2 linked regions of the Diceros bicornis minor genome follow. The protein of the gene in region 1 purifies or fractionates together with the protein of each later gene. This does not show direct contact. Links are inferred from orthologs where the notes say so. Each region holds a gene or a part of one and is shown on either strand. Other genes may lie near its edges. The genes, in order: ESYT1 and SYNJ2BP.

Region 1 (15,376 bases):
CTAGTTCTTCGTCACGCCCCATGGCCGATCCCCTTTTCTGAGTGACCCCGCTTCGCGAGCAAACGCCAGCTCCGTGACGTCACAGCCCTGCCCATCCCCTCAGCTTGATGTCACCTGGAGTCCCCTTCCCCGCTTCACTTGGTGCTCGCTCAGCGTCCTGTTCGCCTGCCCCACGGCTGAGCTACGGCGGCACTGCACAGAACCGGCCAAGCTAGAAGACTTGCTGCGGGAAACTCCTAGGACTTTTTTCGTAAACTCGGGGGTGTTGCGAGGCGTCATAATCGCCGCCCCCAAGTGTACTCTGCCATCCCACTGCACTGTCAGGCGCTCTCCTTGCACGGCTCCCCATTCGGAGTTCCTAACCCCAACCCTAGGCCGGGCTCTGATCCCCACATCCTCCTTCATCTTGAGGCAGGGCGCCCCTCACCTTTTGTTCACTCAGGATTGGTTTTCCAACCCATCTTCCTAGGCTCTCCAAATTAGTTCTATCCCTGACTCTTACTGGCAGCTTCTCCCTTTGACAGGTGACTTTCAGTTTGAACCCTAAGGAAATCCTGAAGTGCCCAGAGCTCTTGCCGTTTTGTCAGACTTCTGTCTTGTAACAACCACTCCATAGTCCTTCATTCTTACCCCTTCTCCCACCCAAGTCTCTGTTTTTTTCCTGTTCAGAACCCAGCAGTGATGTGGAGGTGGAGACCCACAGGAGCCCCGGACTTCACCTGAGCTACCTCAGGTATCGAACAACCCTGGGAGAGTTGGGTGGGGAGGAGTACAGTACCATATCTAATTATCTGAGTCTGGTGGGACTTGCGACATGGGTCAGGCTTGAGTAGATGGCATTTATTTTTCACCAGTTCATTTCCCTTTTAGAAGTTTGTATTTTCTCTCTTACCACTCTTTTCCTTATTTTTCTTATTCTGGGACTAGCCCCCTTCGGAGTAAGAGAACCCTTCTTGTACAGATTATCTTGTAACTGTGGCCTCTGGTCTGCTTGGTTCACTGTAGGGAGATCTAAAGGCAAAGTCAAGGCAGTGGAGTGGCTGGGGGGAGATCAAGGCCAAAGAAATTGGAAAGATTCCCTTATGCTCACGGGGAAACAATATGAAGTTTTCCTATTTGAACAGCAGGGGGAGCCTGAACTCTGTCTAGGAAAGGCTTAGGAGGTCAGACACGTGGGGACTCCCAGTCTTGTTGGGGGTGGGTGGGGAGAAGGGAGGGCTAGAACCAGGGCAGTGGGCTGACATTCCAGAGCTCTCTTGGGAAAGAGAAGCCTTAAAAAGCTTTTATAGAGTTTATAAATAAAGAAGATCTTTAATGGGGTGAGGAGGAATGGTGTGCTTTGATGTCAGTGGGATCTTCTCAGGGAGGGGGGGTATAGAATGAGGAAAGAAATGTCACTTATTCCTATGAAATTAACTTCTTCTTCCCGGCGTTGACCTTACCACAGATGGTTTTATCCTTTGGGAATCAATAAGTGGAGATTCCAGCTGTACAACTCTTCCCTTGAAATGGAGGGGAAGGGGCTGACCAAACTGGGGTTGAGAGTGGTGGTGAGCTAGGAGAGAACACTGAAATATGACAAGTTTGGGGACTTCCCTTAAGCTGGTGACACCAGTCTCTTCACTTAGGATTTCCTGGGGTCTAGAGATCTGATACTTCACAGAGCCCTCACCAGGATCCCATGGAAGAGGGGTTAAGGAAGTTTTGTCACCAGTATCCCATTGTCCACAGCCCTAATAACTCACTAGCCCATCTTGGCCACTATTCCCAGTCTCCTCCTAGCCTATTCAGACATCAATAGCAGTCTTTTTTGTGTGTGTGTGAGGGAGATCAGCCCTGAGCTAACATGTGTGCTAATCCTCCTCTTTTTGCTGAGGAAGACCGGCTCTGAGCTAACATATATTGCCAATCCTCCTCCTTTTTTTCTTCCCCAAAGCCCCAGTAGATAGTTGTATGTCATAGTTGCACATCCTTCTAGTTGCTGTATGTGGGACGCGGCCTCAGCATGGCCGGAGAAGCAGTGCGTCCGTGCGTGCCCGGGATCCGAACCCGGGCCACCAGTAGCAGAGCGCGCGCACTTAACCGCTAAGCCACGGGGCCGTCCCAATAGCAGTCTTAGTTTTGCTTCCACAACTTGAATAAGGTCAGTTCAGAAGGGGGAATAAAATCCAACACTATTCTCTCCCTGCCCCCTCCTTGGCCTGTCAACATTAGTGAGATGAGGTGGCTTCACCCCAGCTCCCTCCCTCCACTGTTAGCCAGGCAAGTGTGAATCATTCTGACCCAGGCCAGGTGCACAAGGGCCTGGGCAGGACTTCTCAGAAGCTGGCCAGTCCAGGAAGAATTCTCATCCCTTAGATTCTCCATTTCCAAAGCCATTGCCCCTCTGCCCTGCCTCTTGCTGGACTGCCTGCTCTATAGTCAGGAAGAGTGTGGCCTCTCTGGAGGATTCCTGTTTGACACAGTTCTCCTCTCTCCTAGTGGTCACCAAGGGTGGCAAGAAAAGGAAGAAAGCCCTGAGTTGGAGGGGACCAGGATGCCTGATCGGGACAGCTATGCCAACGGCACTGGGAGCAGCAGTGGAGGCCCTGGAGGTGGTGGCACCGAGGAAGCCAGTGGGACAGGGGCAGGCAGTGGTGGGGCCAGCTCAGATGCCATCTGCAGAGACTTCCTGAGGAATGTATGCAAGCGAGGCAAGCGTTGCCGCTATCGCCATCCAGATATGAGTGAGGTATCCAACTTGGGAGTGAGCAAAAATGAGTTCATCTTCTGCCATGACTTCCAGAACAAGGAGTGTAGTCGCCCAAACTGCCGATTCATCCATGGCTCCAAGGAGGATGAGGATGGCTATAAGAAGACGGGAGAGCTTCCCCCTCGGCTGAGGCAGAAAGTGGCAGCTGGCCTGGGCCTTTCACCAGCTGACCTACCAAATGGCAAGGAGGAGGTCCCTATCTGCCGTGACTTTCTCAAGGGTGACTGTCAGAGAGGAGCCAAGTGCAAGTTCCGTCACCTGCAGCGGGATTTTGAGTTTGATGCTCGGGGTGGAGGAGGAACTGGTGGGGGGGGATCAACAGGCCCAGTCCCCCCAGGACGACGTCATGATCTCTATGATATCTACGACCTCCCTGACAGGGGCTTTGAGGACCATGAACCAGGCCCCAAGCGCCGGCGAGGTGGATGCTGCCCCCCAGATGGCCCCCATTTTGAATCATATGAATATAGCCTGGCTCCACCCCGAGGGGTGGAGTGCAGACTACTAGAGGAGGAGAACGCCATGCTCAGGAAGCGGGTAGAGGAGCTCAAGAAGCAGGTTAGCAACCTCCTGGCCACCAATGAGGTACTGCTGGAACAAAACGCTCAGTTCCGCAATCAGGCCAAGGTCATGACCCTGAGCTCCACTGCACCAGCGACTGAGCAGACTCTGGCCCCCACCGTGGGCACTGTCGCCACTTTTAACCATGGCATTGCCCAGACTCACACTACTCTCAGCAGCCAGGCTCTACAGCCTCGACCCGTGTCCCAGCAAGAACTGGTGGCCCCTGCTGGAGCTCCAGCTGCTCCCCCAACTAATGCTGCACCTCCTGCTGCTCCACCACCCCCACCCCCACACTTGAACCCAGAGATCACACCACTGTCAGCTGCTCTGGCTCAAACAATTGCCCAGGGAATGGCACCCCCACCTGTCTCCATGGCTCCTGTGGCTGTATCTGTGGCTCCTGTGGCCCCTGTGGCTGTATCGATGGCCCAACCTTTGGCAGGAATCACAATGAGCCACACCACCACTCCCATGGTGACTTACCCCATCGCTTCCCAGAGCATGCGTATCACAGCCATGCCACACTGATGGGCCTAATGGACACTACCCTGGAATAGCCTCCCAGGGCTGGGCTTGAGGGGCCCTTACTCACCCACTCGCCTAGCCCTCCCAGGCCCTGTCTGAAGGGCTCACTCAAGAACTAGGACAAGAGACTACAAGGAGTTTGCTTCTGAGAAAGGGTTGGGCTGGTGTGTTGTGTCTCACCTCCCCTGTATGAGGGTCCTCTTGTCCATCTTCCTTCAAGCCTCACAGAGGGGGCTTGCATGGGAGTACAGACTGAAGCCAGCAGAGAGCAAGGACTGACTAAAGGGCTGTATGTCTGCTGATGGGAAGTTGGGGACATCCCTGGTATTGTCCTCTCTTCTGCACAGCACAGGTTCCAGCACTGGCTTTGGAAGAAAAAAATACCCTGCCCAGAGGGAAAGTCAGGAAAGATTGGGAAGTGGGTGGCCAGGAGGGAAGGCCTAACAGGAGCCTTCAGACAATTTGGGGCCTAGTTGAGTTGGACAATATAGGAACTGCTCCCAGGCCCGTGGGAAGGCGGGGACCATAGTACTCCAGCCCAAAGAATAGGGGAGCGTTCATTACCTTGACTTTGCCTGGAAATCTATAGGGCAGGGCCCACCACCTTCCAAAGAAATAAAAAAACAATTATTTTTAACAAATGGAGGCAGTGAAAACTTGCTTAGGTATTCTGTGTGAATATGGGAGCAGTAAATAGATCTCATGCCAAAATGGGATAAAGACCCCACCCTCACATAGCTTGGGTAAGGTTGGAGGGAAGCCAGTGAAGAAGGGTAGGGACCCAGAACAAGACCAAATGGGGCTTTGGGGAAGGCACTTTGTGGGGTAAAAGCATTGGAGCCACCCAGTCTAGTTTAAAAATAGTCCCATCTGTTCTGGTTTCTATGTGCATGTACTATTCCCAGGTTGCCTTAGTAACCAGGGCTCCTAGGGTCATTTAGGGGGGCAGGTACTAAGGAGGGTAGAGGTTCTGGGAAATGGGAATGAGATATGTATTGACAGATCCTTCTCCTATTCAAACAGAGCAGGGCAGTTGGTGATTGTTCTCTGAGTTGTTGATGGGGGTTAATGTCCCTCCTGCCCCATCCGTTCCTCAGTAACCAATGCCTTAAGCCTTCAAGGCTTGGGAGGTGCTGGGAAAAGGAGAGTTCTTCTGGGGACACAAGCCTCAGAGTTCATCCCTTTCTTCCCTCTGCCTCCACGTAGGACCACAGAAGTTTTAAATCTGGTTAAGAGTCAGTAAGGCCTAGGGCCCCAATAGCCAAACCTCAGTTCCTCCTCAGCTCATGGCTGATGTAGGGGAAACAACTCAGGTGTCTAGTCTAATGGGACAGTGGATTTGGGGGTAGAGAAAGTGATCCTGGGTTATTCTCCCCCCATCATGTTTCCTGCTACCTCTTGCTCTCGTCTGGTTGATCACTCAGGTTACACCTGGGGTTGGAGATGGGCTGGCTAGGTCAAGGCTGGTCATTAAAAAAAAAAAGAATGGGCCTAAAGACTAAAAATGGGCAAATACTGAAGTATTGTTTGTGGATTTTAGAAACCACACATTGATAAGCTTAATGTTGGTTTTCTGGCACAATTTTGCATTATTAAAGAGATGGTTTATGAGCATTTAGAGACAAATGTGATCATAGATACCAACATGAACTCATCCCAGCCAAATGCTGACTGACTTTATTTTCTCTTTGCCAAGTATCTCTGAAGAGGTAGATCTGGGAAACTGCAGACATTGTGTGTCCTTTATTAAGGTATTCCAGCTAAAGACCACCAGGAATAGACCTGTAGTTGAACAAGTTGTGTTTATTGCTCCTTGCAGTGGTGGAGAGAGCATGCCCTGGGGAACCGTGGTATTTCAGCAAGAGGCTGTTAGAAAGAACTTGTAGGACTTGGCCTTTGGTTAAGTGATTTGGGGGAAGGTTCAAGGAAGTGGGGCTTCACTCTGGATTGGGTGCTGTCAGGGAAGCAGGGATAATTCTGTGATTGGGTGTCTTTATCTTATCTAGAAAAAGGGCTGACTAAAGTGAAGCTGAAGCTGCAATTGCTAATGAAGCGGAAATCACTCGTTAGCTGGCAGAGGGGGATGTTTGCTGTTTTTTGGTTTGCATACTGACCTTGTTTTGTGCTTAAACAAAATCGTGCAGAGGTTTTTTTGCCTCACTTCATCACAGTCACTGAGTGCACTTCTCTGATAGTGGTGTTGTGTGAAATTGTTTGAGTCCAACAAGAGAGCACCATTTCTTAGCTGTGATCGCAGGTCAGCCCCCAACAACTCTGAAGCCTGGATGTTCCCAGATCAGGAGTTGCTTTCCTCTCTCTCACCTGCTAAGTCATTGCAGATAAGAGAATAATTACGGGTCAGTTAATAGTAGAGTTTGGTGGAATCAAAACTGAACATTTGTGCCTACTAACTATTAATTAGTGCATTCATGTTAGAGAAGTCTCTTGTGATATACATAAGGGCTATGTTTTATTTAAAAAAAAAAAAAAACTTATAAGAAAAGCCCTGTTATCAACAGTAACAGAGAAGCACTAGGTGATACTGAAAGTGTCTGTAACTTGGGTCAACTAAATTAATCCAAGGGGTCAATTTGGATCAATTTTGATTGACCCTCCCTCTAAAAAATTGCTTGAACCTGGCTGAGGAACAAATGCAGAGATCTGCATTAGCAGTAATTCACATGAGAACAACACGGGACTTCCAGTTGGCTACCAAAAATTAAAATCTTAGTCCTCATAATATGTCAGTTCATAAAAATTAAGAGCCTGCTATGTTCTAGGCACCTTTCTAGGAGCTCTGTTAAGGTAACCAAACCATAGTCATGCATTGTAAATATAGCAGTTCTACCGTGTCTGTCTGCGTGGAACCATTCCTAAAGTATTCTGTGTTCTTCTCAATGTAATTTTTAAAGAAGGCCATTGACAAACCAGTGGAATAGGTGAGCAAAATTGACAAGCGAAGACTGACGGGAGACCCAATAGATGTCTTCAAATATTTGAATGGCTGCCCAATAGAGAAAAGGTCCTGTCTTGCTGCCTGGGAAATACACAGGGAGTTGTAGAATAACAGCTAACATTTATTGAGTACTCAGTACAAGACAGGGCACTGTGCTGGGCACTTTACATGCAATATCTCATTGACACGATGGGTACTATTTTTGTACCTGTTTTGCAGAGGAGAAAGCAGGCTTAAAGAGAGTAATCAGCCCAGGGTTCCACAACTAGTAAGGAATGGAGCCAGGAATCTATTCGGGCGGTCTGACTCCAGACTTGGCATAAGAAAGTTCTAAGGATAGAGCCATCCAACAATGGGACCACTGCTTTGCAGTAACTTGCAAGGAATAATACAGAGGAAATTTCCTCAAATCCTGTTGCCCCTTCCATCTTGGAGAGTGAGCTGGGACCAGATTACCACGTCCAACCCTCTGCCTCCCCTAGGAGGCAATTGTAGTTTACATATAAGTGCAGATTGCAAATCCAGGAAGTCTTGGTACTCTCCTCGCTTAGACACTTCCTCTAACAAATGGCCATCCTTTTTCCTGTTACCCACTTACTGCTTATCACCACCAGGTGGCACCTGGGCAGCAGAATTGTCAATGGGCGGGGACCCATCCTGTTTACTTGTTCTCTGGTGCCTGCATTGCAGTTGCTAATCCTGTGGCTCCTGGGTCCCAGCTGGGAAGAGACCTTCCTGAGGATGAGCTTTCATCCTCCATATACCATCTTCAGTAGGAGGGTCTGATGAGCGAGATGGGGTGAGAAAGGGGAGGAGTTTGGAAAGGAACCTCTATAGGTCACCCTCTCCATCCCCCAGTCTAAGGGACCCCCCTCCCCCTACTCCAGTGCTTTGCAAATTTCAGTTTATAGAGAGGTTTCCCTTTAAAGAATTTCATCCATTTTCCTCCTATAGTTCTGCTTCATCAGTTGGTGAGCAGATCACTTTTATCTCCTCCAAACTCCTTGAGCTCCTTTTCTGCCTGCTCACCTCTGAGAATATGGATGACACAGGAGGCAGATAGAAAATTGTTCTTTATACAGTTCTGCAAACTGAATGAAGCAGCCTAGAGACTGTTAGCCTCAGGGAAGTAGAGAAAGGGAAGTGAGAAAATTTGAGAGGAAGGCTGGGCAGCGATAGGTTTTAAGCAGCTTTGATGAAACACAGCCTGATGAAATCCATGCCCTGCAGAGCCAGATAAAACTTATCAGCTGCCGACCTAGTCTCTCCCCAGCAGTAACCCTGGTTTGCCTGCTGTGTCAAACAGAATAACACAAGTCCCACATATACTGCATTAAAAGGTGATCATATTATGACCAACCCTTCCCTCCTGGACTTCCAGTTAGTCTAGTTTCTAAGTCTCTGGACAACACTCCACCTCTAAATCCAGTTAACTAGTAACACTGGTCATCATCAATGTACCCTGCACTCTCCCCTTCCTAAACCTGCACAGTTCATGTAGAACTGCATTAATTCTACATCTGACTGTATTCCAAACCTTCCTTCTAACTCAGGCAAATGAAACACAGAATCGTCTCATTACTCTTGATTTCTCAACTGCTAGTGTCCTAGCAGTTCCTCAGGGTCAGGAAATTCTTGGAAAGTGTAATCATTTTTGCTGCAGCTGACCGCCCACCCACCCACTCCTCTTTTTGGAGTCGATCTAGTTTGGAGTCGGTCTGCGCTCTATGATAGAGATAGAATTGGAGATAGAATGGACTAACTCTTGGAGATTTCTAAAAAGAAAGCAAGCCTCACTTCCTCTTCACTCCGCTTTTTTTTCTCTTCCCTGAACGCTGGATTGTCTCATCTCTGTAATTCTCGGATTTTCCAGTTTTCTCTAGTGTCTGTCGTTACACTGCACAGACAACGTAGAGGACTGGAGACACGATAGACAGCGTCGTCATCCAACACTTTCATTCCCAATAGGGTAATTTCCTTTCTTTTTGTAAGGACAGCCAGGAAAAAATTGAAGGATAAAGAATGTGCTTAGAGTGTAAAAACTAGGGAAAGCTGACACATGAACATGTAGGAATCCCAGACCAAACCCTGCCAAACCGTCCGAATGGAGTGGAAGGAAATCCTGACCCTTCACAACTCAACTTCGCGACTCCAACTCCCTCAAAAACCGAGTAATTGGCGGTGCGGCTCCGCATGACGTCATACCACAGGCACTCCAATCCCACGTGGGGGACCCCCTGCGCCCTGCTCTCTTCTTTAAATGGTACACCACGCCTCCTTCTCTTTCTGGCCAATCAAATGCCGCTCTTTAGCCTCTTTCCTCCTTTTCCCGCCGTCCCAGATCTCCCATCTGGGCACTCTGGTCCAATCAAGGAGGTCCTGCCTCTTCGGAGCCCTATCCCCTCCCCGCGGGAGAGGGGCAGGGTTTCGATCTTTTGACTCCACCTTAGTCTGTGCGGCGCGGACCAACCCGAGCCGCCAGAAAGAGGGGGCGTGGCTTGAAGTCCCCTCCCCCATCCTGGGGTTTACGGTTTGCCGCGGGGAGCTAGTTGCAAGACGCGGCAACCTCCAGTCGGTGTGTGGGTCGGGCGGGTCCTCCCAGAGGTGGCACCATGGAGCGCTCCCCTGGAGACGGCTCCAGCCCCAGCCCTAGCCCCGTGGACCAGCCCTCTGCTCCCTCCGACCCCCCTGACCAGCCCCCCACTGCTCACACGAAGCCGGACCCGAGTTCTGGGAACCAACCTGCCGGCCCCAGCGCGGCGAGTGAGGTCCTGGCGGTGCTGACTTCGTTCGGGCGGCGGTTGCTGGTGCTGGTGCCGGTATACCTGGCCGGGGCAATAGGACTCAGCGTGGGTTTCGTGCTCTTCGGCCTCGCCCTCTACCTGGGCTGGCGCCGGGTCCGCGACGAGAAAGAACGGAGCCTTCGAGTAGCGCGGCAGCTGCTGGACGACGAGGAGCGGATCACGGCGAAGACACTTTACATGAGCCATCGAGAGCTGCCTGCCTGGGTGAGCGACCATCCTCGATCCTCAGTGCAGCAGAGCCCCCTTCTAGCCCCTCAGTTCTAGGGCTCTCCCTCCCTACCCTAAAGTCAGTGCCCCACCCTTGGGACAGTGGGCCGCAGACTTTCCCCTCTCGCCCCGCTAGCCACCGGCCTCTGGGACGCGGCACTCTTGGGACCGGCTCTCCAGTCTCCTTCCCCCGCCCCCCGGCACGCCCAGATCCCGTTCCTTGCACAGAATCAGTCCTCCTTCCTCTGCGCTTGGCAAGAGCAGTAATGTTGGGGAGCCCGCCTCCCTCCCAGCCAAGCCGCTGAGCGCCTCTCCTCGCCCTGGGGCCACTCGCGCCGCGGCCGCTCCTGGGCATCCCCGCACCCGCTGCCGCTCAGACGGTTCCCTCATCTCTCCTGTCCGTTCAAGACTTTGTGCCTATTTAAGGCCATTGGTTCTTCTTCCTTTTCCCCCTCTTATTCCCGGGTACCCGCTGGAAGCCAGCCCCGGGAGCACTGCCCCGCCGAGCCCCCGCACCTGGACGGACCCTCCGGCCCTCGCCTTCCAGCCCCAGGCGGCCGGGCCGCAGCGCAGCGGGGGCGGCTGCTGGCCGAAGGGCGGGGGTGCTGGGGGAGGGGATCGCGACTGCGGCAGTGCCCGCTGCCCACACTCCACCGCCCCTGGCCGGCCCCACCCTTTTCCGGACTGTGGGCTGCGCGTGCTCGGTCGGGGCCACGACCCTTGTTTCTACTCCCCCCCTCCTGTGGTGAGGGGCCGGATGCCTTCTCTCCGGGCTTGCAGAGGCAGTGCCCAGTTACCCGGCCCCTCCCTGCCTCTCCGGTCCTACTTCTCCCAGCAGAGGTGCCAGTCTAGGGGGAGGATGGCAGAAGAGAGGAATCAAAGTTGACACTAGGCAGGCAGAGCCATGCTGCCCAGGCCGGCGACTGGGGAGGGGAATGGGGGAAAAATAGTCCAGGCAGCAGCTGTCTCTGATCCCCCTACTCCTCCTCGTGGAAACTAATCTTCCTCCTGAAGCGACTACCCTTTCTCTTCCCCTCCACGCAAAGCACAGGTGTCCTTCTTTCCCATAAAAGGAGTCACACTGATAAAAGGAAGAAGAAAAACATGGCCAGGGCCTAACCCGCTCTTCTGGCCCCTCCCTGACTCCAGGGGCTGGTTTCCTCTTCACCTTCTTGGTATACAGCCCCCAGTCCAAGGGGAGCAGGGAAGGCTGGAAAAAGGAACCAGGACTTCTCCAATCCCAGGATTTCCTCCTCAAACTCTGACTTGACAGGACCACCCCCTCCAGAAAGAATGTGCCCTTCTCCCTCCTCCTCTCTGCCCCAGCACCTGTCATTTCACATCCGGGAGCTATCCACAAAACAACTTTGTGTCAGCTCCCCTTTTCAGACCGCAGTGCCCCCAAACCCTGAGGAGGAATGAATCCTCGGACATCCTGGCCCCTCCCCCAGCCCCTGGGTGTGAGGAGGCCCTGTCACACTTATGTTTTCTTTTCTCTGGGGACATCCCACCCGGCATCTTAGTAGGAAACCACTGGCAGAGGGTGTGCTCATTGTTATCTCTGCCTTCCTCACCTCCAGGTCAGCTTCCCAGATGTGGAAAAGGCTGAGTGGCTAAATAAGGTGAGGGTTGATTGTCTTGACTTTTGTTTTTCACAAGGGGGAATGGAGTTCGTTCATCTTGCCAAGCCCTACCATACCTCAATTCTAGCCCCATCCCCAGTGCCCCCCATGGGGCGGATTCTAAAGCAACTTGCCTTTAGAGGGAGGATTGGGCTCTCCTATGATGGGCTCCCTTTCCTCTCAGATTGTGGCCCAGGTCTGGCCCTTCCTGGGCCAGTATATGGAGAAGCTTTTGGTTGAAACTGTGGCCCCTGCTATTCGAGGATCTAACACCCATCTGCAAACGTTTACATTTACACGCGTGGAACTGGGAGAAAAGGTATATGTGTAGGGGGAAGTAACGCAAGGGAGGAGATGGGACAGGAAAGGTGGGTGGCCAGAAGGGGCTGGGGTACTCCTCTCTTTCCTTCTCCTCTCTCAAGAGTTCTCTCTCCAGCCATTGCGCATCGTAGGAGTCAAAGTTCACCCTGGTCAGAGCAAAGAACAGATCCTGCTGGACTTGAACATCAGGTAGTGCCACTCACCAGTCTTCCTGCTTCCCCTTCGACAGGATCCTGGTCCCTCTGACTACTTCACTCCCCCTGCCCCCCTTTCAGCGTGATACTAACCCTCTTTCTTCTCTTCCTCACTAAACCCCAGCTATGTAGGTGACGTACAGATTGATGTGGAAGTGAAGAAATATTTCTGCAAAGCAGGAGTCAAGGGCATGCAGGTGGGGCAGATCTCAAGGGCCCCCATAATAAGGAGGCTTTGCCCTAGGTTTTATTGGACACAGGGAAGTGGGAGGTTGGAAAAACCAAGGCTGGGAAGTCTGGGAGGAGGAGAAGGCCTTTTCTGAGTAAAGGCTTTGATCTTCTCTTGCCCCAGCTACATGGTGTCTTGCGGGTGATCCTTGAGCCACTCATTGGGGACCTTCCTATCGTGGGGGCTGTGTCAATGTTCTTTATCCGACGCCCGGTAAGGGAAAATGTTGAGGGGGATGGGGAAGCAGGGGAAACAGGATTGGGAGGGTGAGGATACCAGCAATGGGGAATAGGGGAGAGAATTGACAAGATGGCTGAGGGGTGTGGCAACTGTTGGATGAGTGTGACCACACCACCATAGGATCTGTCCTGATCCCCCTGCCCTTTCCTTTCAGACCCTAGATATCAACTGGACAGGGATAACCAACCTGCTGGATATCCCAGGACTCAGGTATCAGGGACTTACTGAGCACCTGCTAAGTGTTCCAGCCCTGGCCTGGGGGTTTAAGGGATATGAAGCAGTAAATAGTGCAGCCGATGCCTCCAGGAGCCTTGACCCTGGTTGGGGGGATAAGACAGATACCCCCTGAAAAGTTTCATGCTGTGACTTCTCTTCTGTGGTGGGAGCATGCATTTTGGTAGAGAATGAAGAGGGCTGCAGACTGCTCAGCAGGAGCAAAAAAAGAAGGAAGAGCTGGGATGGCAGTGAAGGGACAGAGCAGTGGGAGGCAAATTAGGGTAGAAGAGTAGCAAAAAGGGATTTTCAGAAAGGACTTCTCTCTAGCTTTGGGTCTCTCTTGTTGTGGGAAACATAGCTGGGGGTGGGAGGATATTGGAAGGTGGGGCCACACTCACCTCCTCTTCTACTCCCACATTTAGCTCACTCTCTGACACCGTGATCATGGACTCCATCGCTGCCTTCCTCGTGTTGCCCAACCGATTATTGGTGCCCCTTGTGCCCAACCTTCAGGATGTGGCCCAGTTGCGTTCCCCTCTTCCCAGGGTATGGCCTCTTCCCCAGGAGATAGATCCTTCTCTCGGACCCTGTTCTGGGTCCTTAGTTTCTTGCTATCTGATTCCTACCCTCAGGGCATTATTCGGATTCACCTGCTGGCTGCTCAAGGGCTGAGCTCCAAGGACAAATACGTGAAGGGCCTGATTGAGGGCAAGTCAGACCCCTATGCACTTGTGCGAGTGGGCACCCAGACATTCTGCAGTCGTGTCATCAATGAGGAACTCAACCCCCAGTGGGGAGAGACTTATGAGGTGGGAGAGCTGAAGAGTGGGGCTGTGTGAGATGGGGAGGCCCCCGGAGGTTGTGAGAGAAGATGCTGATTGATGATCCTCGCAGCTGCAGCCCATGAGGCCCTGATCCCTCTGTGTTCCTCAGGTGACAGTGCACGAGGTCCCAGGGCAGGAGATTGAGGTGGAGGTGTTTGACAAGGATCCAGACAAAGATGACTTTCTAGGCAGGTGAGACTCTGCCTATGTTAGGATTCTAAAGCCCCAGTGCTACAAGGTCCCAGAGGTAATTATAATCCTTTTCTGGGCCTGGGAATCATGTATCATTTTCCTTCCCAACCTCCCCACCCCTTGCCCCCACCATTCATGCATGCGCGTGTGCACACACATAAATATCTCCTGAGTGTAAGTTGAAGGGAGTCTGAGATTTGCCAGTTATTTCTAGGTGGGTGAGTGGAGGGCCAGTGACAAGGTACTAATTACAACACTCCCCTTTTTTCCCTTTTACTGCCGCTCCCTTCTGCCCGACCCCCCAGAATGAAGCTGGATGTGGGGAAGGTTTTGCAGGCTGGAGTACTGGATGATGTAAGTTGAGAGAAGAGGAAGGTGGGGAGTGGTCTCACCCACTGAGCAGACAATAGTTGCTCCACTGGTGGGGAAGAGATGGGTGCTTGATCTCTTCCCACTTTCTTCTACTTCTCCTTCCAGTGGTTCCCTCTTCAAGGCGGGCAAGGCCAAGTTCACCTAAGGCTAGAATGGCTGTCGCTTCTGCCAAATGCAGAAAAACTGGAGGAGGTAACCAACGTGGGAAACAGGAAGCTGGTGGGGAGAAATGGGTAGCTGGAAGTCTAGAGGCCTGGGGGAACCAAGGTCTGACTACTACCACCCCACCAGGTTCTACAGTGGAATCGAGGCGTCTCCTCCCGACCAGAGCCCCCATCAGCTGCCATCTTAGCTGTCTATCTGGATCGGGCCCAGGATCTTCCTGTGAGTGTGGCTTCTGAGGGCAGGTGAATAGGGAGCCCTGAATGCACATTCCCACACCCTCCTTTGCCCCTGCCTGCTGTGTTCCAGAAGCAACAACATGTAACACAAAGGTTCCAAGGAGGGGATCAGAGCCACGTCAAGGAAAAGATTCTGATGAGAGCCCACCTTCCTTCTCTGAAACAAAACCAAAACACCCAAGATGGTGACTTCTATATTCTACCCCCTACAGCTAAAGAAGGGGAACAAGGAACCCAACCCTATGGTACAGCTGTCAATTCAGGATGTGACCCAGGAGAGCAAGGTGAGGGCCAAGACATCATTGTGGGAGATGTCATGTGTGGGGCCAGTGGGGGAGGGAGGACTGTTCTTGGGATGACGTCTCCGCGTTAGAATGCCTATAAGGGCTAGGGTTTTCTAGAGACACAGGAATGGTACTGTGCAGGTACCCTTAATCTCATCCTGCACATCTCCAGGCGCTCCACAGCACTAACTGCCCGGTGTGGGAGGAGGCCTTCCGGTTCTTCCTGCAAGACCCTCGAAGCCAGGAGCTTGATATACAGGTGAGATAATCATTTGGCCCCTCCTGAATACCCTATCCCGTCTTCCCAGATCTCTGCCATTTCTTCTCTCCATCTTCTCCTTTGATCTCTATTTTCAATCTATCTACATAGATTCTCCACCTCCTCCACTCTCTCTCCACTATTCCCCACCTATCTCTCTAGAATCATTTTTTATAATTGAGAATTGTACACTTAAAATGAATGATTATGCCTCAATAAAATTATTTTTTAAAAAAAGAACATACTGAGTACCTCTTAGACACCTACATTTTAAAGGTCATAGAAAAAGCATAAAACAGAGTATCTGCCTTCACAAAGCTTACTGGCTAGTTTCATAACTGACAAGACACACATATGTAAAACCAAGAATGATATATATATAATGTATATAATCCATGAATGACTAAATATTAA
Region 2 (15,550 bases), on another chromosome or scaffold:
ATTAGAAACCTGAAGTACCCAGACAGAAGGCAAGTAAACTAGTCCTGCCTGGACAGGAAGAAAGTGTCAGGGAAGTCTGCCTGGAAGAGATAACGTCTTTACCAAGATGGAAGGATAAACTGGAATTATCCAAGAAGAAAGGACAGAAGAATAATCAGGGTACAGGGAATAAATAGAATATGCAAAGGCAAAGAATTTTAACAACTATGGCAAATATGAGAAACTGCTTATAACTGAGTATAGCTTGATATGAACTTAGATTCTATTGAGAAGGAAAGTGAAGATAAATAAGTAAACATATAGATGAACAAGATAATTTGACATGTAGTGATAAATTCTACAATAAAGGAGAAAGGGATACTATTCAGTATTTAGTGGTCAGGAATACCTCACTAAGGAGACACCATTTTAATTGAGATGTGAACAAGAAGTCAGGTACGTGAAGGTCTGGTAGCAGATGACCCAGCGAGTGCTATGGCTGAAAGCAAGAACATGTAGAAAGAAGGCCAGTGTGGTTGCAAAATTGGGCGGGAGGGGTTTGGGGGAGGGTTGGGGAGGATTGGAGGGGTAGGAGGAGGGATAGACTGTGGTAGTAGATGAGATAAAGAGCTAAAAGGGGCTGAGTCATATAGGCCCTATAGGCATCGTTAAGACTTTGGCTTTTTTTGTAAAATGGAAAGCCACTGAAGGGTTTTGAGCAGGGACATAACATAATGCAATTTGCACTTTTATAGCAAGAAAATATTAGAAATGAAACATAAAGGTAGGGAAAGCCAGATCATGAATCACTGTGTGCCCTACTAAGAAATTTGGCTTTACCTGAAGGCTAAGAGAAAACACTGATGGATTTTAAACAGGAGAGTAATAGGATAAAATTTGGATTCTAGAAAAGATAATGTGGAAACACGTGGAGGATGAATTTAAGATGTATAAGACTATAGCCAAAGAAACCATTTAAGAGGTTCCTAAAACAATGCAAGTAAGATTTCAAGGATATTAACTAAAGAAATTAATTTAAGAATGGAGAGGAAGAAATAGTTTTGATACTTAAGCACAAGGACTTATTGATTGATGGAGGAAGGGAAGGCAGGAGGAAGGAAATTAGAGAGAGAGAGAGAGCAGTCTGAGATATCTCCCAGGTTTGGTACTTAAGTTGCTGGGTGTATAGAGACATGATTCACCTACACAGAGAGTAAAGTAATAGGAACAGGTATTTTTTATGAATGTCTTAAATGAAGGGACTATAAGCCTTGTCAAAAGTTTCTTAGACAAATTTATCTCAAGCACATGTCAAATTTTATTAACTTCTTAACAAGGAAATCAGTTAGGTGACTAAAAAAAGAAAAGTGGAATAATTCAGAGACATTATGAAGGATTGTATAGGAGGGAAACAATAGTTACTTAGGCAGATAACTGAGTTTTTTTAACAAAAAAATTGAAGATTCATTTCATAAGGTCATAAAAATATCATGTTCATATCAGTTGTTACAAGAGAAGTCTGTGAAATGGTGACTGAAGATGCCAGGCAGGCCAACTCTCTCCAAAAGGGAAAAACAGCACATTTAAGCAGCTAGTGATAATACATCTGGGTCTGATATTGGAATAACAAGGTTTTGTGCCCCAACGGCAGCGTTTGATAGGGTCAATTACCATGAAAGCATGAAATGGTGTCAGCAGAGACCAGAAGCAACAAGTTCTAATTTTAAAGAGACCATTGCCAGTGTACATAAAAGCTGCAAACAAAGATGCAGAATATATACTTTATCCAGTTGTTAGCAATGGGACAAAATCTTCTTTTGACAGGCTGAAAACAACAAGGCTGCCTTTGTATATACATTTGTTGTATATAAAACAAATTCCTTTGTATTCATTTTGAGGGCATCAGCAATGTCAACGGGAATAGCTGAAAGGAACACAGGCAGCAGAGCAAGGACACTAGTGGGAGCAGCATGTGATGAGACAGCAAATGACAACTGCAGTGTGACCTTCAGCAAGTGACTGATTTAAGTTTCACCATAACTGAAATACATTCATTCACTGAAGGCCCACTACGTGCTACCCACTCTTCTAGGTATTGGTGATAAAGCACTGAACAAGAGGGAGTGGGAGCAGATGGCACAGCACGTGCAAAGATCTAAAGCAAAAACAAATTTGTCTGAGGAATAAAGAAAAGGCCAGGGAAGATGCAAAGTAGTGAGCGGGGGAACAGGGTTGTGGTAGTACATGAATTAGAGAGCTGGACAGAGGCCAGGTCACGTGGTATCTTATAGGCACTATTAAGGACTTTGACTTTTATTCTAAGTCAGATGGAATCGATTGAGGGATTTCAAGCAGGGGCATGACATGATCTAACTCACATTTTTGTAACATTGTGCCAACGGCGACGGGAAGAATGGTTTGGGGGTGGAGAGTGGCACCAGCGCAAACTGTTAGGAAGAACAGCAGAAGTCCAGGCAGTAAATATTGATGGTTTGGAATAAGAAGGTAGTAGCAGAGATGGTCAGATACAGACTATATTTTCTTGTATGTAGAGACAACTGGACTTTCTAATGGGTTGATGTGGGGTATGAAGGAAAGAATGGAATCAAGAATGGTTCTCAAGATTTTTATTTGAACTGGGTAAATCAAGTTACTCAAGGAAGGGGAAAGACTAAAGGAGGTACAGGTTTGGGGGTATGGGTATCAGGAATTCTAGTTTCATCATGATAATTTAAGATGCCTATCAGGCATTCAAATTTTGAGATGACAGATAGACAACTGGATTACACAAGACTGATGCTCAGTGAAGAGGTGAGGGCTGGCATATTAATGGCATTTATAGCTAGGGGACTAAATTAGATTTCTTGAGAAGAGAGTGTATATATGCAAAAGAATGGAGAGTATTAACCAAATGCCTGCTAGAAAATGAGATAACTGTAAATGCCTTGCTGAGACTTGCTATTATTAGTAGTTGGGGCCTGAACTGTAATTTTCCCCAAGAACTTGGAAATTAACGAAATACTGCTATCAAGGTTAAACTGTAAAACCAACATGTAATGGGCCAGAGCAGAAATATGCAATGCCACCTTAAAGATACAAAACAGTTCCAAAATCTGTAAGACTTCACTGTAATCTGTGTTATGGGATGAATAGTGTTCCCACAAAATTCATATGTTGAAGCCTTAACCCCAGTACCTCAGAATGTAACCACATTTGGCGATAAGGTATCTAAAGAGGTGGTTGTTGTTGTTAATGCCATCAAGTCGATTCTGACTCCTAGCAGCCCTGTGTACAGAAGCCCCAACCCTGCCTCATCTCTTTCACCATCCTCTCACCTTCTGGTGCAGTATCAGACAATGCTTTGCTGCTATTCATAGGATTTTCCTGGCCAATTTTTTCGGAAGTGGGTGGCCAGGTCCTTCTTCCTAGTCTGTCTTGGTCTGGAAGCTACACTGAAAGCTGCCCACCATGAGTGACCCTGCTAGTATCTGAAATACTGGTGGCATAGCTTGCAGCATCACAGCAATATGCAGCTGCTACAGTATGGCAACTGAACATAGGTGGTGGTTCCCTGACCGGGAAACAAACATGGGCCGCAGTGGTGAGAGCATCAAATCTTAACCACTTAGACCACCTTAACAGAGGCAATTAAGTTAAAATGAGATCTTTAGGATGAGCCCTAAACCAATATGACTGGTGTCCTTATAAGAAGAGGAAATCTGGACACTGATAAGTACCTGCACAGAGGAAAGATCATGTGAAGACAGGGAGAAGACAGATATCAACAAGCCAAGGAGAGAAGTCGGAAACCAACATTCCCCACACCTTGATCTTGCACTGCTTCTGGAACTGTGAGAAAATAAATTTCTGTTGCTTGTCACCCAGTCTGTGGTATTAGTTATGGTAGCCCTAACAAACTGATACAATCTGATTAAACGTAATAACACAATAAAGTAAAAAATTGTGTCAATCAGAAAGGGATTTAATCACCTAAAGGAAGCAGAGAAAAAATAAAATATGCAAGAGTTTGAAACCAAATAGGTCAGTTCCAGGGCAGCAAGTTGGAACAAATGCCGTATCAAAGAAGATGTGGATAAATCCTAAATGCAAACACGTCCATGAGCTGGTCATCGGAGAGGCAGGTAAAATAAAATATTGAAGTAGGAGGCGGCAGGAGCAGACAGGAGACGGGAAAGTCAAAGTGAATGTATGACATGAAACATGCTAAAACAGTGCAAGGTATGAGTAAAGTACCTCAAGGTGTGAGGCAAAGTTTCCACTTATCTTGTAAATAATAGGTTGAAGACACCAAGTTTCACACTTTTTACATAACTCAAGGACAGAGGTCCTAAACAGAAAGGCTAGCTCACACAGAAAGTGTCACTTCTTGTGTCAGAGACTACCAATGGCCTCCCAATATCCATTCTTACCTTTTAGCTTACAATAGTAACCCTGATTTTTTAGTTGTCACATTTCCATCCCACTAAAATATAACATACCCTAGGCCTCCCTTAGAGTTAAGTATAACCATGTGACCCGGTTTCTCGCCAATGAGATATAAGAAGTGTACGAAACTTCTAAGAGGTCTCTGTAAAGGTATGGGGTGAACCTTTTCTTCACTACTTTCTTGGAATGTGGATATGATGGTTGAAGTTCCAAAACCTATCTTAACCATCTGGGACCATGAAGCAAAGGCTGCATTCCAGGGATGAAGGCTGGAGAGGAGACAGAAAGCTGGAAGGAACCTGGGCCCTGGTGACTGAGGAGCCTTGATATGAGCCTTGAACTATTTCCAGAGTTCTTTAATGCAAGAAAAATAAACTTCCATCTTAGCCTACCGCATATAGAATTAAGTGTGCATCTCTACACTCCAGTGTAGTATTCCTTCACTATCTGTTTCTAGCTTATTTTTTCAGTGTTATCACCTACTAACCCATTCTGCTTTTTCACTCATAGACTCTATGTTCCATTCTCTATTCCCTAAATACTCCCAACACTATCCTGATTCCATAATTTTTCTCAATTGTTTTCTCTGAGTGGAAACCCCTATTTCCTCTGTTTTCTGCCTTCCTACATATTAAAGTTTCCTCAGTCTTAAGAACTATACAGATCTTCCTCGACTTACGATGAGGTTACATCCTGATAAACTCATTCTAAGTTGAAGATATTGTTAAGTTGAAAATGCATTTAATACACCTAACCTATCGAACACCATAGTTTAGCCTAGCCTACCTTAAACGTGCTCAGAACACTTAAAGAGCCTACAGTTGAGCAAAATCATCTAACACAAAGCCTACTTTATAATAAAGTGTTGAATATCTCAAGCAATTTATTGAATATTGTACTGAAAGTGAAAAACAGAATGGTTGTGTGGGTACAGGATGGTTGTAAGTGTATCGGTTGTTTACCCTCATGATCATGGCGCTGATTGGGAGCTGCGGCTCACTGCCGCTGCCCAGCATCATGAGAATATCGTACCGCATACTGCCAGCCTGGGAAAAGATCAAAATTCAAAATTCGAAGTATGTTTTCTACTGAATGCATATCAGTTTTGCACCATAGTAAAGTCGAAAAATCATAAGTCGAACCATCATCATAAGTTAGGAACCGTCTGTACTAACATTAATGTATAAAGGCAACTTATACGCCTAAGCTGTCATTCCACTTATTACCAGCATTTCCTGAACTTATTTCATGATCCTTTTCCTTTCACCGCCCCACGTGTTTCTCTTGAAGTTGTATGCTCAGATGAAAAGCGCAGCTTCCCAGAGTAGAGATTTCCCCCTCAGCAGTCTACAAGAAACTTTGCTGGGACTTTTCTTCCAAACTTCTTCATTGATGACAATCTTGATTTTCTTTTCCCAGTTCCATTTGGTCTCTTCTCTCTTGGTATTCCAGTGTCACTTACTTATACCTTACTTTTTTCACTTATCATACTGTTTTTTATTATGATCATTTTATTCTGTCATTCAATCAACATATGTTGAGGAGGGCTAGAAGCAAGGGTGGCATGCATCTGAGTTTAGAGTTGAGAAGTAATATTTAAAATTTTTTCTCACTTAATCCTTTCAACAATCTTTTACAGGTTACATGTCTATTATCATGCCCTTCTTCAGATGGGGAACACAGTTAGGAGATGTTAGGTTACCTGCTCAAAGCCAGACAACTGGAAGAAGATGGAACTGAAGCTTGAGATCAGGTCTTCTGACATCATCTCCTGTGTTCTTTCCACTATTCCATGTTAACTTCTTTCAGGATTAGCAAATAAGAGGACTTCCTGCTGAGTCAGCCTCTTTCTTGTCTTGTTTGGTAAACACAGTAGCTTCTGGTGTGATTATTTAACCTGAATTTGAATTCCTTAATTGGATCTGCACTTTTCAATCCTCCAGGTCCCCATCAATCCCTGTCGTCTAACTCCAGATTATTTCTCACCTTTAGGTCACCTTCCTGGCCCTTAAGGCTTTTGATCCCTGAAAGTTCCTTCAAACCCTGTTTTGGAATTCTACCTCAAAAGTCAGGAAGGCTGGGCTGAAGTCAATAGCTAGTTCATCTACTAGTCTTACTGTAAGGATTTAAAAAAAAAGATTGAATTTTCCCTGTTAGCAAAAAGAAGAGACATTTACCCCTCTCCCTTTTCTTAGAGGATTTTGTGTAAACTTGTAATTATAAATCCTTCCTCTGTCCCACACCTATCTATCTATCTATCCATCCATCTATCTATCTTTTTAAAGCTAAACAAGCTTCTTGTCAGGTACAACCCAAGAAAGTCAGGTCCTGGGAGCCAACTGTTTGAAATGTAAATATCAAGGAAGTTAGTGCCCCATCTCCCTGTCACCACAGGAGTTAGCCTAGGCGCGTTGCTCCAAGCTAAGTACCTGCTTGTTCTAGAGATAGAGGTTTTATTTCCCCTCAGGATAAGGCAATTAGCTAACACAGATGACCACCCCAAGGGTGACCTACCAAAGCAAACGGTGTTAAGTCCTCTTACATGAGAACCTGTATGTAACGGATGGTATCTGCTTGGCTATATAAAAAACTGACATTTCTGTCTCTTGGCAATCGCATTATCGGACGCCCAGCCCACTCTGGTTTAATGCTTACTGAATAATAGAATTCTCTCCCATTTTTTTTTTCCTACATTTGTGGAGATTTTCTGAGACGGCAGGAGATTTTATTTTTAATTTTTCCTCGACAATATCAATTCATTTATGACTCTTACTTTTACTATCCCCTCACCCCCCACCCCCAATAGTAAATTAGAACACTAATTTCCTGCTAGCTCACCTCACAGGTTGTTTCGAGGGCCGGCTGAGATAACGCAGCACGTCTGCGGTCAGAACCACAACTCCCAGCATTCCTGGCGCTGCCAGCGCTCCCGGCTTCCTCTTCCGGTCCGGGGGCTGCTGAAACCGAAAGTGGTGTGCGTTGGGCGCCGCGCGGAGGCTGGTTCGTCTTTACCTGTGGGACCCCTAGTTGACCGTGGGAAGCAGACAAGCAGGAAAACATGAACGGAAGGGTGGATTATTTGGTCACTGAGGAAGAGATCAATCTTACCCGAGGACCCTCAGGTATGTGAGGAACAGGTCACCTCTGGGAGTAGGGTACTTGAGGGTGTAATTGGAGAGCAGACGCTTCTGGTGCTGAGCCGGATTCTTTTAGAGTCAGAGCAGGCAGGCCCCAACCTAGAGGTTTCCTGCAACGCTTGTGAGCACGTAGGAGAATATATTGGCATCCATCGTTAGCCAGAGACGGATCAGCTGAGGAATCCACCTCGTTTTGCAGTCGATTACCACATGTGTTTATAGTCAGGAAGGGTTTCTTTCTGCTACTGATACTAGAAAATCCTGGAAAAAAGCCTGCTTTTTAGCTAGCATGCGATGGACACCGCACCCCTCCTTCCATTGCCTGCTCTATCCTTGTTCCTATGAGAGACTGTTTAGTAAAAAGGGGGGGCATAAACGGTGTGAACTGTAAATGTATAGGCGTTTTCTTGCTGCTAGTATCCTTCCCTCCTTCCTTTCGTTTCCGGGAAATTCATTTAGAGTGTCAGCTAGAACGTTAAAGCAGAAAGAAACCTTAGAGATCTGTTAGAGCAGTTCCCAAATCCGGGTCTGCCTCACAATTACCCAGGGTTTTTTGTTTTTCTTTAAAAAAGTTAATTCCTAGGTCCTATCTCTAGGAATTTGGATTCAATGCAGGTGGTTTTTTCTTTTGTTTGGGTTTTTTTCTTTTTTAAGCAAGCGCATCCTGTGATTCTGATACCGCCAAATCCTCACTTACTCCTCGGTCCTCTTGCCCACTGGCGCTTTCCTCTGGACCGGGCTCATAACATTACTGCACGCTGCCTGCTTTGGATTTTGTTGCCTTTCCTTTACAGCTGTCTAGTGTGTCGATTAAGAGCTTTAGCTTTGGGATTATGTAGGTCCAAGTCTGGTACCTAATCTCTTACTAGTTCTTTAATATTTATTGGCTGACTGTCTTTACTGATGTTAGCCTTAGTTTCTCATCCTTAAAATTGTGCATAATAATAGAATATATTTCATAGAATTATGAGAATGAAATGAGTGAATCTATGTAAACCATTTAGAACATTGCCTGACATGGTAAGTACTATGTATGTGTTTGCTGCTGCTGTTGTTACTGTTAATAGATGAATGGCTAGATTAATCTGATAATTCCTGCTAAATAGTGTTATTCTGAGAGTCTCCAATAAGTCATCAAGTACCATGAGCTCTATTTCTGAAATGGCTCTATAAACCTTCCACTCCTTTCTATTCCTATCACCACTATCTGGAACAGTCCATCTTTTCTCATCTGGAATTTTGCAATAGCTTGACCACCACTCATGGATTATTCTTCATAAAATATGGCTTTCAGCATCATCTATACTTCATCTTCTTTCTTGTTATAAAAAACTAAAAGTGGATTTTATTTATGAGACTATAATTCATTGCTAATCTGCATGGTTTAGTGTCACACTCCATATGAACTCCCAAACTTTTGTCAAAGGCTCATTCAGTATGCCCAAGTCTCTTAGATTCACTTTTCCTATTTTATGTAAATTTTTCCTTCTCTCACTCTCACTTAATATTTCTTGACTTTTGAGGCAAACATGGAAAATTATTTTTAAAGCAAAATCTGTTTTTCTATACTTTTTCATTCATTGGTAACTGTTCTTCTCCCAGGGCCAATTAAAACAGTGGTAGTTCTTTTTCTGATTGCCCTGCAAGTATTAAAAGGCATCTAATGGTTCTGTTCCCGTTTTGTCTCTTCCTTCTGTAGCCTAAATATCCCTAGTTATTATATTAGCTCTCATGTGATGTGGTTTGAGGGTTGATTCTTGTCTCCTTGCTTAAGAATTTAACGTACTTTGACATAGTCCTTTTGCTGCAGCATTCATAGTGTTTCTAGGATCTCCTGACTAGAGCAGAGCAGACCTCTGATATTGCGTGTTCTAGTCACTAAATATTTTTAAAGTTCAGTGTAATATCACTTCACCTTTTTTGGTATTTGCATAACCTGTTGCTTAATGTTCAGCTCACCATTCACTAAAATTTCTGATCCTGTTGATCTTGCAGACTTAAAGTTCCTTATGTTCGCGTTTTTCTGAATCGTTGAAGTTAGGACAAACTTCAAGGGACTAATTAAGAAGAATAATTATATCTAGCTAATATATTTCACTCAAAAGTGGTTTAATTTCTGTATTGTATGTGCATTTATTCCAAATGAATGGATTTACTCACCGAGTGACTCCTTTAATTTTCCTAAGCATTTTCATGTCTTACTCGTTTAAGTTGATAAACTTAAGAGTTTAGGAGAGGAGAGCCACAAATTTAGGATTGAACTTGGATAAAAACAGTCATTGGAAATTTGATTGGTTAAGTTAACAAGAAAAGGTTTCAAGTTTCTGTTTATAACCTCCCAGAGCTAGTGACTTGGTATGTGGAACTCCTAAGAAATCCCACGGTCTAATTCAGCTTTTCTTCACTGTGTGGTCATGAAGATAACACAGGGAAGAAATCAGTTATCATCACTAGAAACTTCCGATAATTTTGGTAGTCACGTAAAGATCTTTCTTTCTATAGAAGAAATATGAAAAGCCTCTAGTTCTACGTATATATTTCTGTTTGTAGGCAGCGTTGTCACTCTTTGTCTATGTCCCACTTCTTATGCAGGGACCTGATAGTTTAATCAGGTAACTGCAAGAATGTATATATACTTTTGCTTTTTTGTGCCAGTGTTCTGTCACGGGCAAGACTCTTAGATAATTCCAGTTTTGGGGCCCATTTTGCAAGGCAAATGAACCTATTCTGTCTGATCTTGCTTACTGCAAGGGAAGAAATGAAATCTTGGGAAAATTATGACAAAGTGAGTATCTGGGGAGGCAAAAAGAAGCTTGGCATCTCTCTTATGCCTACTTCCTCAACTGTGTAAGGAGAGGCTTAGGCAGGATGACTGCCTTCCACTTCCAAGAGTTCATGATTCTTTGGCCCATTCCATGTGTTATTTTATGATTCCTGCCATTTTGGACTAACAGTGGGTGGTCTGAAGAATCATCAAAGGCAGTGGTCACAATCTCAAATGCCTTCAGGAGTTTGAAGAGTTCACCTTTTATCCTTTATGGAACACTGTTAATCTCTTTTCTTTCTATGGGAGTCCAGCTTGATTATAGTCTCTAAACCTCCTACTTTTTCCTTTATCAAGCTGGGAGTTCTGGATTTTGGAATGATTCAGTTACTCTAAGAAGCGTGACAAGAATCTAATCTAGCTTTTTTTCACTCTAACAGGTAGAGATTGGCCATAAAGACAACCCTACTGCTCATTGGGTATTAGGATTAGGATTCTTTGTTCAGGACTGAGGCCTCAGTGGGTTTCAGCAAGTTGCTCCTGATACACTATCTTTAAAGAGGGAAAAGAATCTCTGTTCTTTTTTTTACTTTCTTTAAAGGAGTTGCAAAGGATAATAGGTTGGTACAGTGTTTTAATAATAAATAATTAAGGAAGTATTATCTTTCTGGCGCTGTACTAGTTACTTTATATATATATTAACTCATTTAATCTTCACAGCAACCCTGAGTAGTAAGTGATTAATCCACATTATTAGATGAGGAAATTGTCTCTCAGAGAGGTTAAGGATTTGCCCAAGATCTAAAGGCAGTAAGTTTCAAACCAGGAATTTAACCCAGATCTGTTGATTCTGCTGTTCCATATATTACCTCCCAGTGTAGTAGCCGTGTCTAAATAGTTGACTGCCAAGCTTTCTCCTGACTTTTATTTTGTTATATCATGCCTTATTCCCAGAAGGATTTGAGGCATCTTAAATGACTAACACAATCCTCAGTGGAAAGTTTTTACAGTTTGCTGTTCATAGAGCTAAGGACATATCAAGGTGAGAATCTAAAAACAAGAAACCCCATTAAGTCCAAGCGTTTAAGCCTCTGCAGACCCGTCATGTGCTTTGGGTTTAACCCTGAGACTGTTGCTAACAGTTTTCTGACCTGTTCCCTCATGTACCAAATAGATCTGAGACTAAGTGTTATATCCTCACCCTGTTTTCTCTTGATAGCGTGAAGCCTAGCCCTCATGGAATCTATGTTCCAGTGGAGACATGACATTCACATGTAAAAAGTTAAATCATTGCAAAGGTGCAGATGGTTAAGGACTATGATGAGCATGTATGTAGTGGGAGGGCAAAGGAAATGTGGAGAAGAGTGTGTTAATCTGACCCTGTGCTGGGAAAGTTCAAAGAATGGAGCCATTTAAGGGCCAGACTGATCAATTACAAGAAGGTGGGACTTACGTTGGTCTTATGGACAGGCTTTAGGCTAATGCCAGGAACAGGGATGGGTATGACCTAAGCAGTGATAGAGAAGAGAAAATAAGTAAAGCATATTCTGAGGTCGGTGAGTAAACAAGCCTGGATAAAGGGAGGGTTCATTTAGGAGAGTTAAGGGAGATGAGGTTGCTGATGTAGGTAGCGACTGGGTTATGAAAAGTTCTCGATGCTAGTGTGGAAACTTAATCTTTCTCTAAGGTTCCCTCTTGATTCCTTCTCCTTTCTATTCATTGGTTAAGACTCAATTCGAGAGTCATCTCCAGGAAGCCTTCCTTACCTAGGCTAGATGCCCCCTTATTATAAATATCATACACCATCTATTGCGTACCTGTCATGTATTGCCAAACTAAGCACTTCGTTTCATCAATTCCCAACAAGGAACAGATGAAATGGTTGTTATACCATTTTGCAAATGAGAAAACCTTGACTCCTACGTCACACAACTCTTTAAGTAGAAGAGTTAAGAATTGGATCCAGGTCTGTGTGACTTAAAAATCGAGGCTCTGAACCATCATAGAAAGGTTTTTTTTCCTCCTTATGCTCCCACAGGGCTCTGTGCATACCCTATCTTAGTGTTTATTTCTATATTTGCTTCCTTACTTGTGTCTCCTCCTCCCTCTACTTCACTCTGAGCTCTTCTGATTCAAAGGATATGTATTTCATCTCTTGTTTTCCTAATGCCTTGCCTAGTGCATGACACAAAGTGGTCAGTAAAAGTTCATGAAATGACTTAAGCAAGCTGATGAATATCAGAAAAATATAATAGAATGTTAAGAGAATCAGTAACGTGATCTGTTTCAGCTTTCAAACAGTCATTAACAAGGTTCTCCACTAAATACAATTTAAGAGAGAAGGAATGAATTTGGACATAATGTGTTATAGTGGATAGGAAACTGACTAAGATACCAGAAACAAGGAGATGGAATAGATGGAAAGCCACGTAGAGTGAAAAGAGTATATGGTACCAGTCTCTGAAAATTGCTTCAAGGATCTGTCTTAAGATTTTTTTCAAGATAATCCTTAAGAATAACTGTAAAGTAAAATATCTAGGAATTTGGAGAAGTAGAAAGGCAAGCTGATAGATGCTCAACTATAGAAACATTTTGCAAAGCCATGTGACTAGGTAGTAAAGTAGCCAGTGACTGTATTTGAATAAATACAAAATTATTTATTGAGGAAAAAATCTATACTTAGATGATAGAATCAGAAGAAACTATTGGTTTCGGGAAACTCAGAAACAAAGGGAAGCTATTTTTAAAAATATCATTTAGGGTTTACTATGTGCCTCCACTATGATTAGGAATCATGAATACTAGAATAAAGAATAAGAAATGATCCCTATTTTTAAGAATTTTGCAGTTCAATAGGAGGATAATTATGATAGGCATGTGCTAAGTACCCTCAAGAGGTAGAATAACCAAAGAGCTGTGGACCTTCATAAGATATGTTCTGTTCCTTGTGAAGTCAGACTCAATGGACCATTTCAGATAAAAGACCCAAGAAGATATTAAATGCCTTTAGAAAGTGTTTCGGAAAGAAATTAGATAGTGTCATTCTCTCCTTGTACAAACTATGGTATATTCATGCTGACCACAATGTACAGTTTACCATATGTTGGGCAAGAAGCGTAGAGTAAGAGAAAGTTGAAAAGAGGGCAGTGGAGAGGGTGCAGGTTGGGATATGAGGCAAAAATGAAGACACTGAAACATTTTGGAAGCAAGGGAGCAAATGGAGACATGATCTAGTAGAGACCAGTCATATGCATTTAGAGCTTGAATATTCAAGGGCTTATCCTGGAATGAGAGAAGATGGGTGCCCACCTAGATATTTGAAAGATGTTTAGGGGCAATAAAAAGAGGCCCTGGTGTCCAACCCGGCTGGTACTGCCTGAAACATCTTTGGTGGGCCATATTCTTTGTTGCCCCATCAGGTGGAGCACCGAGATGGGGAGAGACTGACCATGGGCATTATACATTTTTTCTTGCACCGTCTGCCTGTTCCTTTGAGGTTAAAGATTTTCCCTGTTTCTCTCTTTGTTTATTTGTCAGTGCATATTTGTTACTGTCTTTTGGGAGAGGTAACAAATAACAAGTGCCAGATTTCATCTTTGGACCAGAGAGTTTCTCCAGAGAATATAAGAGTTTTAGGTGAAAAGATGCCTAGTCAGGGGCCAGCCCTGTGGCGCAAGCGGTTAAGTGTGGCACGCTTCGCTGTGGCGGCCCGGGGTTCGCCGGTTCGGATCCCAGGCTCACATCGATACATTGCTTGTCAAGCCATGCTGTGGCGGCGTCCCATATAAAGTGGAGGCAGATGGGCATGGATGTTAGCCCAGGGCCAGTCTTCCTCAGCAAAAAGAGGAGAATTGGCAGATGTTAGCTCAGGGCAGATCTTCCTCACAAAGAAAAAAAAAAAAGATGCCTAGTCATTTAAGCTCTTCAGTCACTTATTTGAATCATTCATTCATTCATTCAATTCATACGTATTTATTGAGTGACGACTGTAGGACAAGTTTCTGTGCTAGAGACTGCAGATACAAAAGAAAATTGAATTTCAATCTAATTGCAGTGAGCAGCAGAACATAGTGATTAAGAGCCAGAATGCCTGAGTTACTAGCTATGTGACCTTGGGCAAGTTACCTCACTTCTCTGTGCTTCAATTTCCTTAGCTATAAATTGAGAGTGTTAATAGAACCCTCTCATCGAGTTGTTATGAGAATTAAATGTTTTTCTTGTTGTTCTTTGTTTTACAAATACTTTTATAGTGTTGACTCTACCAGGCTCTGTTCTAAGTATTTTACCAAAAGATAACTCATTTAATCCGTTTAAAGTGCTTAAATGGTGTCTGTCATTACTGCTGCTGTGTGGAGAATAGCTTTAGTGGGGCAAGAGTTGAGTCATCCAGGAAAGGCAGGGTAACCTGTGTCATAGGAATTTTAAGGACATTGGGCTTCCCCTTTTATATTTTCCTCCTTTTCTTTTGTGCCTTCTTTTTCGGGTTATGAAAAAGCCTGCTAGAGGCTCACAGAGATATTTTGAACCTTGCTAGATTTCCCCAGGACTAGAAATGTTAGGAATTCCTGACCTGGGTGTTATTTCCAATGGCATTAACAGTCACTTGACACCAACCGAGGTCTGTATATGTACTAGGTACCAAATGGGCACAAGAGATATAAAACGAACAAAAGCCGTATCTGTGCATGGATGTTTATAGTAGCTTTATTCATAATTGGAACTAATTATTGCAGTAAAGAGGTAATTAAACAAGTAATTTCAGTGAAGTATGTTTTCAGGCAAAGGGAAGAGGACATCCAAAGGCATGGAGATATGGAGCGGCTGTGTATGTGGAAGGGTGAAAAGCAGGGAGGTAGCAATTATTAATTTTTTAAAATTGTCTTTATTTATTTAGAGCAGTTTTAGGTTCACAGCAAAATTGAGAGGAAGGTACAAAGATTTCCCATATGCATCCCATCCTGACATATGCATAGCTTCCCCCATTATCAACCTCCCCCACCAGAGTGGTACATTTGTTACAAGTGATGAACCTACACATTGTACTCACCCAAAGTCCATAGTTTACATTATGGTTCACTCTTGGTGAACCCATTTTATGGGAATGGACAAATGTATAATGACATGTATCTACCATTATGGTATCATACAAAGTATTTTTACTACCCTAAATTCTCTGTGCTCCTCCTATACATCCCTCCCTACCCCCCAACCCTAGTAATCACTG

The links.
Region 2: the proteins of ESYT1 (region 1) and SYNJ2BP purify together in Homo sapiens (affinity purification with mass spectrometry; 4 studies listed by BioGRID and IntAct, with this or other methods). This does not show direct contact. The link is inferred for Diceros bicornis minor from reciprocal best matches to the Homo sapiens genes ESYT1 and SYNJ2BP.

The regions. Positions count from the first base shown.
Region 1 is NC_080756.1:12,635,507-12,650,882, reverse strand, and holds the start of ESYT1 (extended synaptotagmin-1), read left to right. Parts: upstream 1-9,346; 5' UTR 9,347-9,409; coding exon 9,410-9,805; intron 9,806-11,388; coding exon 11,389-11,430; intron 11,431-11,614; coding exon 11,615-11,749; intron 11,750-11,866; coding exon 11,867-11,940; intron 11,941-12,069; coding exon 12,070-12,142; intron 12,143-12,297; coding exon 12,298-12,387; intron 12,388-12,568; coding exon 12,569-12,624; intron 12,625-13,052; coding exon 13,053-13,176; intron 13,177-13,262; coding exon 13,263-13,439; intron 13,440-13,563; coding exon 13,564-13,646; intron 13,647-13,951; coding exon 13,952-14,000; intron 14,001-14,123; coding exon 14,124-14,210; intron 14,211-14,309; coding exon 14,310-14,402; intron 14,403-14,631; coding exon 14,632-14,703; intron 14,704-14,875; coding exon 14,876-14,962; intron 14,963-15,376. Other genes in the region: ZC3H10 (zinc finger CCCH domain-containing protein 10), read left to right, coding at 2,537-3,844. UniProt on the Homo sapiens protein: Binds calcium (via the C2 domains) and translocates to sites of contact between the endoplasmic reticulum and the cell membrane in response to increased cytosolic calcium levels.
Region 2 is NC_080763.1:18,765,885-18,781,434, reverse strand, and holds the start of SYNJ2BP (synaptojanin-2-binding protein), read left to right. Parts: upstream 1-7,388; 5' UTR 7,389-7,483; coding exon 7,484-7,547; intron 7,548-15,550. UniProt on the Homo sapiens protein: Regulates endocytosis of activin type 2 receptor kinases through the Ral/RALBP1-dependent pathway and may be involved in suppression of activin-induced signal transduction.